2 linked regions of the Schizosaccharomyces pombe genome follow. Changing the gene in region 1 together with any one later gene gives a genetic interaction. Each region holds a gene or a part of one and is shown in the gene's direction. Other genes may lie near its edges.

The links.
Region 2: of wpl1 (region 1) and psy2, changing one suppresses a phenotype caused by changing the other (phenotypic suppression), as found in Schizosaccharomyces pombe (one study listed by BioGRID).

Annotation. Positions count from the first base shown.
Region 1 is NC_003423.3:473,948-478,610, reverse strand, and holds wpl1 (WAPL family protein), read left to right. Parts: upstream 1-1,882; 5' UTR 1,883-2,090; coding exon 2,091-3,591; intron 3,592-3,600; exon of another isoform or gene 3,601-3,631; coding exon 3,632-3,684; exon of another isoform or gene 3,685-3,729; coding exon 3,730-3,984; 3' UTR 3,985-4,037; downstream 4,038-4,663. Other genes in the region: DNA replication licensing factor Cdt1, read right to left, coding at 1-1,180; Rheb GTPase Rhb1, read left to right, coding at 4,114-4,175, 4,235-4,493, 4,548-4,663. UniProt on the Schizosaccharomyces pombe protein: Regulator of sister chromatid cohesion in mitosis which negatively regulates cohesin association with chromatin.
Region 2 is NC_003423.3:893,706-899,089, reverse strand, and holds psy2 (serine/threonine protein phosphatase PP4 regulatory subunit 3 Psy2), read left to right. Parts: upstream 1-1,675; 5' UTR 1,676-1,956; coding exon 1,957-2,668; intron 2,669-2,726; coding exon 2,727-4,525; 3' UTR 4,526-4,718; downstream 4,719-5,384. Other genes in the region: dynein-anchoring factor Num1, read right to left, coding at 1-1,015; squalene monooxygenase Erg1, read right to left, coding at 5,038-5,384.

The DNA of each region.
Region 1 (4,663 bases):
TGCTGAATGTGACTACTTGAATATTACCAAGAAGATTGATAGTGCACCAAGCAGGCAAAGCTTTTGAAAGCAACTCAATTGCTTTGGCACACTGGTCAGGTGATAAGCTTGATGATATCGACATTTGCATGCTTGTCACAATTTCAGACATAGAAAAAGATCGTTTAGTTGGCCAAGTGGAAAGCTGAACAAAAATGAGATCAATAATGCGGACAAATGAGACCTTTTCTTTTGCTAGAGTATGAACAACTAGGTTGTTTTTAAATTCTTCAGCTTTTTTTGCTTCCATTGCTTTTTGCTTTTTACGCACGCGATCGAACAGAGAAGATTGTCTCAAAGTTAACTGAGATGATGTTAGCTTACGCGATGAATTTTGAACAGATGAAGAACTTTGATGGGATTTCAAATTGATTTTTGAATTCACTGACTTTGACAAAGTGGACGAACTGTCAAGCATGCTACACGAGACTAACTCATTAGCATATTTTGCCGTGTTAGTAGTGAATTTTGGTTCTAGAGTTTGTGTGGGAATACGTAACTCGCGACTTGTTGATTTCTCCAAATTGAGCTTTCGAACTAGTGAACTTTCATTAACAGTATTCTTGGATAGACTGGGTAAAGCTTGTAACTGTTGAGCAGGAATCTCAGTTTCAGAACAATGCTCTAACAACCATTTTTCTAGTCTCCGTTTAAATTCAATGGAGCGGGAGAAGGCTTCAGGAAGATTCGCATTGCGAGGGTATGACAGTTCATATGTTGCAACACGCTTTCCTTGATGAATAGTAAAACATGGGGTAATAGCAAATGACTCTGGCCATACGGTTAAAATCTGAGCGAGATGAGTTATTTTTAAGGAGATTTTGGTGAGACCAGAGACTTTATTTTCTAACAGCACAAAGGTTGGTTTGGTATTGATGGAGAGGTGAAATTTTACACATATGTCGACTGCATTAAAGACCTTTTCTAAGAAAAGAACTGATTCATTTTTAACTGGGGGTAAAACCTCATTTTGTTCTAAAGACTCAGTGTCCAAGTTCTCTTTCAGCCTTTTAACAGCTGGTATTATTTGAGAATCCTCAGGATTTTTGGGTGGCTCAATAATGGCCGCATTCGACCTTTTTGATGAGGATCGAGTTTTACGGACAGAGAAGTTCAATTTTGTTTGCGATCCAGCGCTCATGATTTGAACACAAAATCCAAAAATAAGGATATTGTTGTCGTGACTATATAGGGCGCGACATTTCATTTATATCGAGGGTTATATTAAATTTGAGCGTGTCGCGTTTGTTGACGCGTCGCGTAGCTATCGTGTCGCGCTTGCTAACTAGTTCACATTTGTCCGACTAATCAGTTTATGTCTTACTTAGCCTATATGATTCAGTAGATTATATTGAATAAATAAGTTCCAACACTTGTACAAAATTCACAAAACAATTTTTTAACTACAGCTTTTCATTTTCCGAAGTTTTTATAGAATCTCTTATACGAGTTTAAAATTATTACAGGATGCATCGTTATATAAATTTTGAATAACTCCTTTGCTCTGCGAGATATTATTGAGTTGTTCGTTGTCGAAATTTTCAATAATATGTTACATGTCACAATGATTTCTGTATAATAAAGGTGTTGCACCAAGTTCAGGCTCTCTGAAAACAAACTTGTGTCAAATAGCCACTCGTCCACTTATGGTCTTCCATAAGTTGTACGAATTCAAAACTTTTAGTTAACTTTTTTACTATCAGTGGATAAGTTGCTATAATAAATGAATAAAAAGATGCCCTGTATGATTTCTATCGACTAAGTCTTTTCTATTTATACTGGGTAGAGTAACAATGTGACTCAAATATCTATAAGGACCGATTGAAATCAACCAAGTACAAATAGAAAAACGATTCTAAAATTACTGAGTATAAAAAACGAATTTCTCATCAAGGACCCTATTTTCTTTTTTCTTTGCTCAAGAAGTTATTAAGCTCTATTTTCGAAGGTTTTCACTCACTCGACAAGCTACATTGTGAGTTGGTACGACCGTGTTCCTCCATTTTTGTAAAGAATCGATGTCAAGCCAGGCGGATTGAAGAAACCTTGAAATGAAAAGAGGAAAATGTAAGGAAAAAGATAATGGTTTGAAGAGAATTTCTTCGGAATCGGAAGTTTGGAACTTTTTAGACGTGACAGTTTCAGAGTTAAACAAGCAAAAGCGCTCGCCAGGACAGACCGTGTCTAAACGACTGCATAAAAAGCAAAGGGTCGTTAGTAATCCTGATTTGAGTTTACCGTCTTCACCGGTAAAACAAATTTTAAGAAATGGACTTCAGAATTCAAAGTACGGTTCTCATAAGACAGGACTGGAAAGGTCCGCGAGCTGTAGTAGTATTGATGCTTCCGCAAACCATTCTTCCACTACCTATCGGGAACAAAGATCGTATTTGATGGAGGAAGGATTAGATACTCAGCCAATTGTACCCCGTGAAGTATCCTCTGGTCGAGAATTGGATTCAACCAACCATACTATTGGTACAGAACGTGCTTTTTTGATAGAGGAAGACGTATCAGAAGATGATGAAATTCAAATGAAAAGTATACATGAACTTCGCTTTGCTGGAGAGCAGCAAAGGATCGTTGATGAAATTGAATACTTAGTGGACGGAGTGACTTTCTCAGGTAACTCTTCTGCTTCTCGCTATTTGAGTTTAATAGGAATCGCTGAAAAAATGTTTGACAATTCATTTCGTTTATGCTTAAAGTCGATACGGGATGTCTTCTTGCGAATATTTGAAGAAATTGATCCTAAAGATACTTTACACACTTTTTTGCAGATTTATATATTTGCAACTATGGCTAATGAAATGGATTGCATGAGTTCCTTGCTTGATGCTTACTCAAACAATGTTAAACTTCTTTTGCAAACGGCTATTACTTTAGAACCGCAGGTACCGGTTTCAATTTTGGCAAAAAGCTTACCAAAAAGTGTAAAGGGAGCCGTTCAAGAATTCGTTATAAAGGCAGAGCTTACTTTTAGTTTTAGCAATGAGTCTCTTGCTTCTTCTGATTCTATCAGTCTTGCAGCTATCGCTCTTATGAAGACGTCCTCGGGAGTTTTTGCGGAAAGCGAGTTGTTTACCGAATTAATCAATCTTTTAATAGAAAAATCCTACCCCATCTTGAAGGAAAACGATGGAAGCAATAACTTCTTACTTCATGCACTTTGTAGTTCTTTAGAAAAATTTACGGATTTCCAGGGATCAGAAAAGATTCAGAAGGTTTCACAGATCTTATCCTCAAAGTTACAAATTTTAATTGATGAACACAATGAAACAAATTCACCAAAAATTGACGATACAGTTGTCCATGCATGCAGTGAAAAATTGTTGCGTACTTTGATTCAAACAGTTAATTCTAACAGTGATCATGCGTTAGCGGTTTCTAAATCAGAAGTCCCATTGTTTGCTTATAAAATTTTACAAAAGTTTTCTAATTTTTCGTCCGATGATGAAACTACACGAGAACTAATTATCTTAATCCTTGGTCTTTTACTAGGGCTAGTTGAGGAATCTCATGAGTTTATTCAAACTATCACTCATGTTGAAGGTAAGTTCCTTTTATTAATATTTTTACTAATTCTATTTAGTTTCTTTCGGAGCTTCAGCACTCGATGTCCTCATTTCGTTTTATCAAAAGAACGTAAGTTGTACTACTTCTGTTGTAAGACATTTCTAACAAATGTAGGAAAGTATCGTAGAAATTAGTGGATATGTCGTAATGATTTTAAGCCATTGCTTTTTAAATGATCCCAAAGCGTTTGCCCAACTCAAGCCTTTGATATCTCAGTTTTACGAATCTCTACATAAATTTAAAAATTTTCATTTGAAATTGAAAGAGGAATTAATGATGATGGGTTCTAATGGACTAGCCATTGTTTCTATAATTGATGAACTACATAAATCGTTGCAAGACTACTTGCGCAGTGACTTGGTAAAATGACCTTTGCGGCGCGCTGGGAACGTGACATCCACAACATCGTTGCTTTCACTCACTTTTTTTTACGATCACTCTATAGTTAATAATTTGCCTTTTTAAATATTATAATCTTGAAATTTTCTAATTTAAACAATGGCTCCTATTAAATCTCGTAGAATTGCTGTTCTTGGCAGTCGTTCTGTTGGAAAGTCCAGGTAAGCGTTTGATTGAAGTTTATGCGCAAATAGGTTTACTAACCATTTTTTTTAAATAGTTTAACGGTGCAATATGTTGAAAACCATTTCGTTGAATCGTATTATCCAACTATTGAAAATACATTCAGCAAGAACATCAAGTATAAGGGTCAAGAATTTGCTACTGAAATTATCGATACGGCTGGTCAAGATGAATACAGTATCTTAAATTCTAAGCATTCCATTGGAATCCATGGCTATGTACTCGTTTACAGCATTACTAGCAAATCTTCTTTTGAGATGGTTAAAATAGTTCGTGACAAGATATTGAATCACACTGTATGTCAAATTATTAGAATTTTTAAATTTTTTACTAACCTACTTGCTATTAAGGGTACTGAGTGGGTCCCCATTGTGGTTGTTGGCAATAAGAGCGACTTGCATATGCAGCGTGCTGTTACCGCTGAAGAGGGAAAAGCATTGGCCAATGAATGGAAATGTGCATGGAC
Region 2 (5,384 bases), 420 kb from region 1:
ATGATAAATTTGGAGACGGTGTTTTAGTATCGTCAGCTACCAAATGATTTACACTCACTAACTCCTGTTTTGCTAAATTGATGGATTTGAGAACGGCCGATGATTGAGATACCGAAGTTTGTACATTGGATTCCAACGACAAAAAAGGATCTATTGGAAAATCGTGTTTCTCTTCTTGCTCCGCATCAAAAGATGAACTATCAAAATACTTATCCGAGGAAGACTCCAAAAATACAGAATCGTCGTTTTCATCCTCAGTTACCAAAGTATTTTTAGAATCTTCACTTTCATCTATAGTTTCGCCTTTTTCGGCATTCAGTTGAAGCTCGTGAAGGCAAATTCTTAAATTTGTTAATTCCAATGTCAGTTTGTTCTTCTCATCGTTAAGTGAAACGGTCAAAGACTCTACTTCTGTCAATTTTTTCATTAATCCTTGTAGTCTTTGTTCAAGCAAATCCCTTTGTCCTTGCACCTTAGTCTTCTCTTTCATAAGTGTTTTCATGTTTGAAGAAAGTAGATCAAGTTGCTTGATTAAATGGGCATTATCCACTGACAACTTTTTATGCAAATCTTCTTTCTCTGACAGTTGCAGCCTTAAATACCGCAACTGTTGCAGAAGGTTTAAGCCAATGTTAGTAGCATATTGTAGATTGGTTTCAGTAACTGAATATTGATCTACTTGAGAAGACTCACTGAAGCAATTTGTGTTCTTCCTTCTTTCAATTGCAATGTCTTGACGTTGAATAGTAAGCATCTCCGTAATTCTCACCTCCTCCTCCGCTAAATTTTTTTCCAAGTCGCGTAATTTATATCGATTATCAAATTTGTTATTAAAATATGTTTTATTTTCCTTTTGAACCACTTGGTCTTTAATTTCTTGTTCGATTTTTCGTGTTTCACAAAGAATGCTTTCCTCTAACGCTTTCGCATAAGCAAGCTTTATTTTTGCACTTTCATTTCTATTTTTTAAATCAATTGAATATAATTCCACCTCGTTATCTTGTTTTTTCTCCATGAAGGATCAGTATATGTTTTGGTAAGCTCAACTCTCTTTGTCTTTTATATATCGATAAACTCGTAAGCATGCATATCGCAACAGTCATCGTCTTGAATACATAATTTTTATTTCTGGAATTATATCAATTCAATTCGTGTTCTCATTTGGCAAATTTCTCGTATTACGCTTTAACAATAAAACTTAGTAAAAGCAAAAAAACTGTATTTATATTGATGCATTTGCTAGAGTACTTGAATATCTAGCGAAGCTTTAGCAGCTTTCAATATATATATCGGTATAAATACCATTAGTTTGTACTTAAAAATTAACTATTACTTTACAAATGTACCCTGAGCCTCATGATTGACTTGCAAAAAATTGATTTGACGAGGCTACACATGTGTTTAGACAATAATTAACTTTATTTATATTCATATTTAGTTTATTTACTATTTCGAAAAGATTTAAATGCTAATTGTAGACAGTATAAAACGTTTAAAACACAACTCGATATAAGGATTGATTACAGCATATACACCGAGCGGTGAAGTACTCATCGTTAAAATGCATAACGTCCGTTAATGATATTGTTGTAAACAGATACCGAATTACAATGAAAAATAGTGACTGAAAGCACCACGATCACGTATATAATAGTTATTTGACTCTATAAAGAACATAATTCTGCCATAACACTTCAAAATTATGCACGTGAAATATACATAGTACACTGCTTAACAAATCTATTTGTTATATTTTAGGCAAACCAAATAATTAAGTAAAGCGGCATTGCCATTTAATGAGAAATACATTTATTAATAATTACAATCTTGGTGCAATCTACGGTATTGCATTCATTCACCACCACGTTTGAATTTCGTCTTCACTTTTGAAAATTTGGTGACGAACGCCAACGTCGTAAATTCGAAGCTGACGTCTACCCTTAATCCGCCGTAGAAATGGATTCTACGAAGGAAGAGGAAGATTTAAATAATAATATTGATGAAATTTCAGATGGAGAAAATGAAGAAGAGGAATTAGACGAAGCAATTGCAGCTGCATTGCAGAAGATCGAAGTGCCATCGATTCCCAGACGTGTAAAAGTGTACGAAATGGAAGATGAAAACTGGGTAGACTGTGGCACCGGTTATTGCGATGGAAAAATAGAGGGACCGTTGGCTTATTTCATTGTGCGTTCAGAAGCTGATAATGAAACCATCCTTTTGAAAACACAATTGATTGCGGAAGATATATACAGCCGTCAAGAAGAAACTCTCATAGTCTGGCAAGAATTGAATGGTACTGATCTTGCTTTAAGCTTTCAAGAATCTAGCGGTTGTATAGACATGTGGATGTTTTTAGCAAATGTTCAAAAGGCAATATCATCGGTAACTAGAAGTTACTCCAACGATGATATATTGACGGATGAGGGGGCGCTTAATGAAAACTACCTAAACACGGTCGATCTTCCAGCCCCAGAGCTTGCTAATTTAAAAGAAATTGAAGAAGCAGTATATGGATATATGCAGTCTATTCAATCAAGAGATAGTTTGGTTCGTTATGTTTCAAATGAAAATTATATTGATAGACTTATTGAACTTTTTCCTCTGTGTGAGGATCTAGAGAATACAGATGACCTTCATCGATTGTGTTCCATAATAAAAAGCTTTGGTATGTTAATCTACTTTATACTTTTTAGATTCGTTAAATCCTTGCTAATCGCTGTCAGTGCAATTGAACGACGCCCCTTTACTCGAATCGTTGTTCTCTAATGATGAAAAGCTAATGTGTGTAGCTGGTATTCTCGAATACGATCCGGAATTCCCCAATATCAAAGCGAACCATCGGGAATATTTAATGGATTCCAAAAAGTTTAAGCAGGTGGTTCCCATTCAGGATCCACGGATTCTTGCAAAAATTCACCAGACATTTAAGCTTCAGTATCTAAGGGATGTTGTCGTTTCAAGGATTGTTGACGAACCCTCCTTTTCGGTGCTAAATTCATTTATCTTCTTTAACCAGGCTGATATTATTCAATACCTTCAAACAAATGAAAAATTTTTACATGAACTGTTTAGCATTTATGTGAATGAAGGCGAGGATGATCAACGCAAGCAAGACGGTATATTCTTTATTCAGCAGGTTTGCAACATCGCTAAAGGGCTACAATTCCAGTCCTGCTCTGCATTATTTGCTACTTTCGTTAAATTTAATCTTCTGAAAGCTTTGGATTATGCAATGTCACATGAGAACAATTCCGTTCGAAATGCTGGTTCCGATATTTTGGTGTCTATTATTGATCATGAACCTGCCATCGTTTGGCAAAAGTTTGATCAAGATCGCAAGGACGCTTCTTCTTCATTGAGCAATGCTCACGTTTCCCAACATTCGTTGCTTTCCAATTTAATTAACATTTTGCATAAAGAATCAAATCCTGGAGTACTTGCTCAAATTTCTGAAGCTTTTAAAATGCTACTAAGTTTACCTGGTAGCTATGCATACAATAATCCTTACAGAAATGCTGATGGAAATGTTCGAAATAAAACCGATAACATTATTGGAATTAATTTTATTGAAAATTTTTATGATAACTCTTTTAATATGCTTGCTGCTCCTTTATTGGAGCTGGAAAATGTATCGAGTTTAGATGTTAAAAAGCTTGATATGTATATGCATTTGTGTGAGCTTTTTTGTTATTTTTTTCGTATACACGATTATTGGTCTCGTCGTTTTGATACATATAAAACCCTTACATCAAAAGTGGCTCTATTACTATACAGCGATAGAAAATATGTTGTTTTGAGCGCCCTTAGATTTATTCGCTCTTGTTTGGCCGCTCGTCAGTCAGAAATGTCCTTGATCATGTTAGAAACTGACACATACGGAAAAGTTCTGGACTTGATGTTAAAGGTCAAAGACCAAACTAATTTAGTCAACTCAGCTGCTTTAGAGTTTTTTGAATTTTTAAGATCCGAGGGATCTGAAGATACACTGGATTATCTCAATAAAAACTATCGACCACAGCTGGAATCTTTAAATAATCTCAGTACTTTTTCTGAGCTTTTAAATATAATAGATGGCTTAAGCTCTGACTCAAGAAGCCCTAAAACTGTTGGGACTCATGAATCAAATAGTTATGAATTTGACGGTGCCTCCAATAATAACCAACGTGTTGGAGACGACGTATCCAAAGATTGGGAAATACAGCAAGATTTTTCTATTGAAAACGATACTGAATTATCAGAAAAAGTTGGACAACGTACTGTTCTTGATTCTATAGCCCCTGCTGAGCTAAATATTGAAGACAGTTGCGAGCAGCCAAAGCAACCTATATTAGAGGATCGTTATTTCCTTGAGTCTGCAGTTTATGATACCTCTGCAGAATCTTCAGGTATTAATGTTTCAAACACCCGTTATTCTAAAAGGAAATCGGATTTCCAAGTTGATGATCAGCAAGCTGATGATGAATCACCAAAAAAGAGACTCTCTATCGATTCAAGTTCTGCCCAGAATGGCTACGCTTCCTAGAAGATGAACATAAAAAGGGAAGCTCCAAAAACTCTAGAAGATTGTAATGCAAGTGAATCATCATATGGACATCGTATTTTTGTTCCCGGGTTTATCATTGTTTTGAAAACTCATCTGTATAATATAAACGATTTGGGTTGTTCATTAAGGGACTTTTAAAATAATAAATACCAATTTTCATGTTACTATCGTGGTCTTGTAGTCTCGGGATAATTGTTTACTTAACGCTGACGAATAATTGTACTTAGTAGGCTTAAAAATTAAAAAAAAGTATTTTATATTAAAACGGCAATTTATAACTCTTGAAAAACAGAGGGATTTATATAATAAACAAAAAGAGTGTGAAGTCATTACAAACTTGAACCCAACTCTATCTAAAACTATTTCTTTAAAAACAACGACGTACCAAACAAGGCAAAAACCAAATAGCTATCAGTGATTGCCAAGACAATCATAATCAACCAATTCATAAATCAAAAATAATTTAATTTTAATGAACTGATTCTGCAAACTTAGGATGACATTTCGCTAAGGATATAAGGGATAATTACTAGCGAAGCTTGTAAGAAAATCAATAAGGATTCGATGATACGGACGGGCATAAGCAAAGCAGGACCAGACAAGACATATTGGTAAATACCATAGAGACAGACGGCATAGAAGTGGCCGATAAGATGAGAAGGGCTATGGTCTAAACCGCCTAATAAACGAATGGGACCTTCAACACAATTACCTCCACGCTTGAAGTAATCGATACAGCCCGATTCAAGAGCCTTCATATAGCGATTTTTAGGGGTAAACAATTTGTACAAAGCAATGGAAAGAACGTTGATTACAAAACTGTAACCCTTACGCTTCC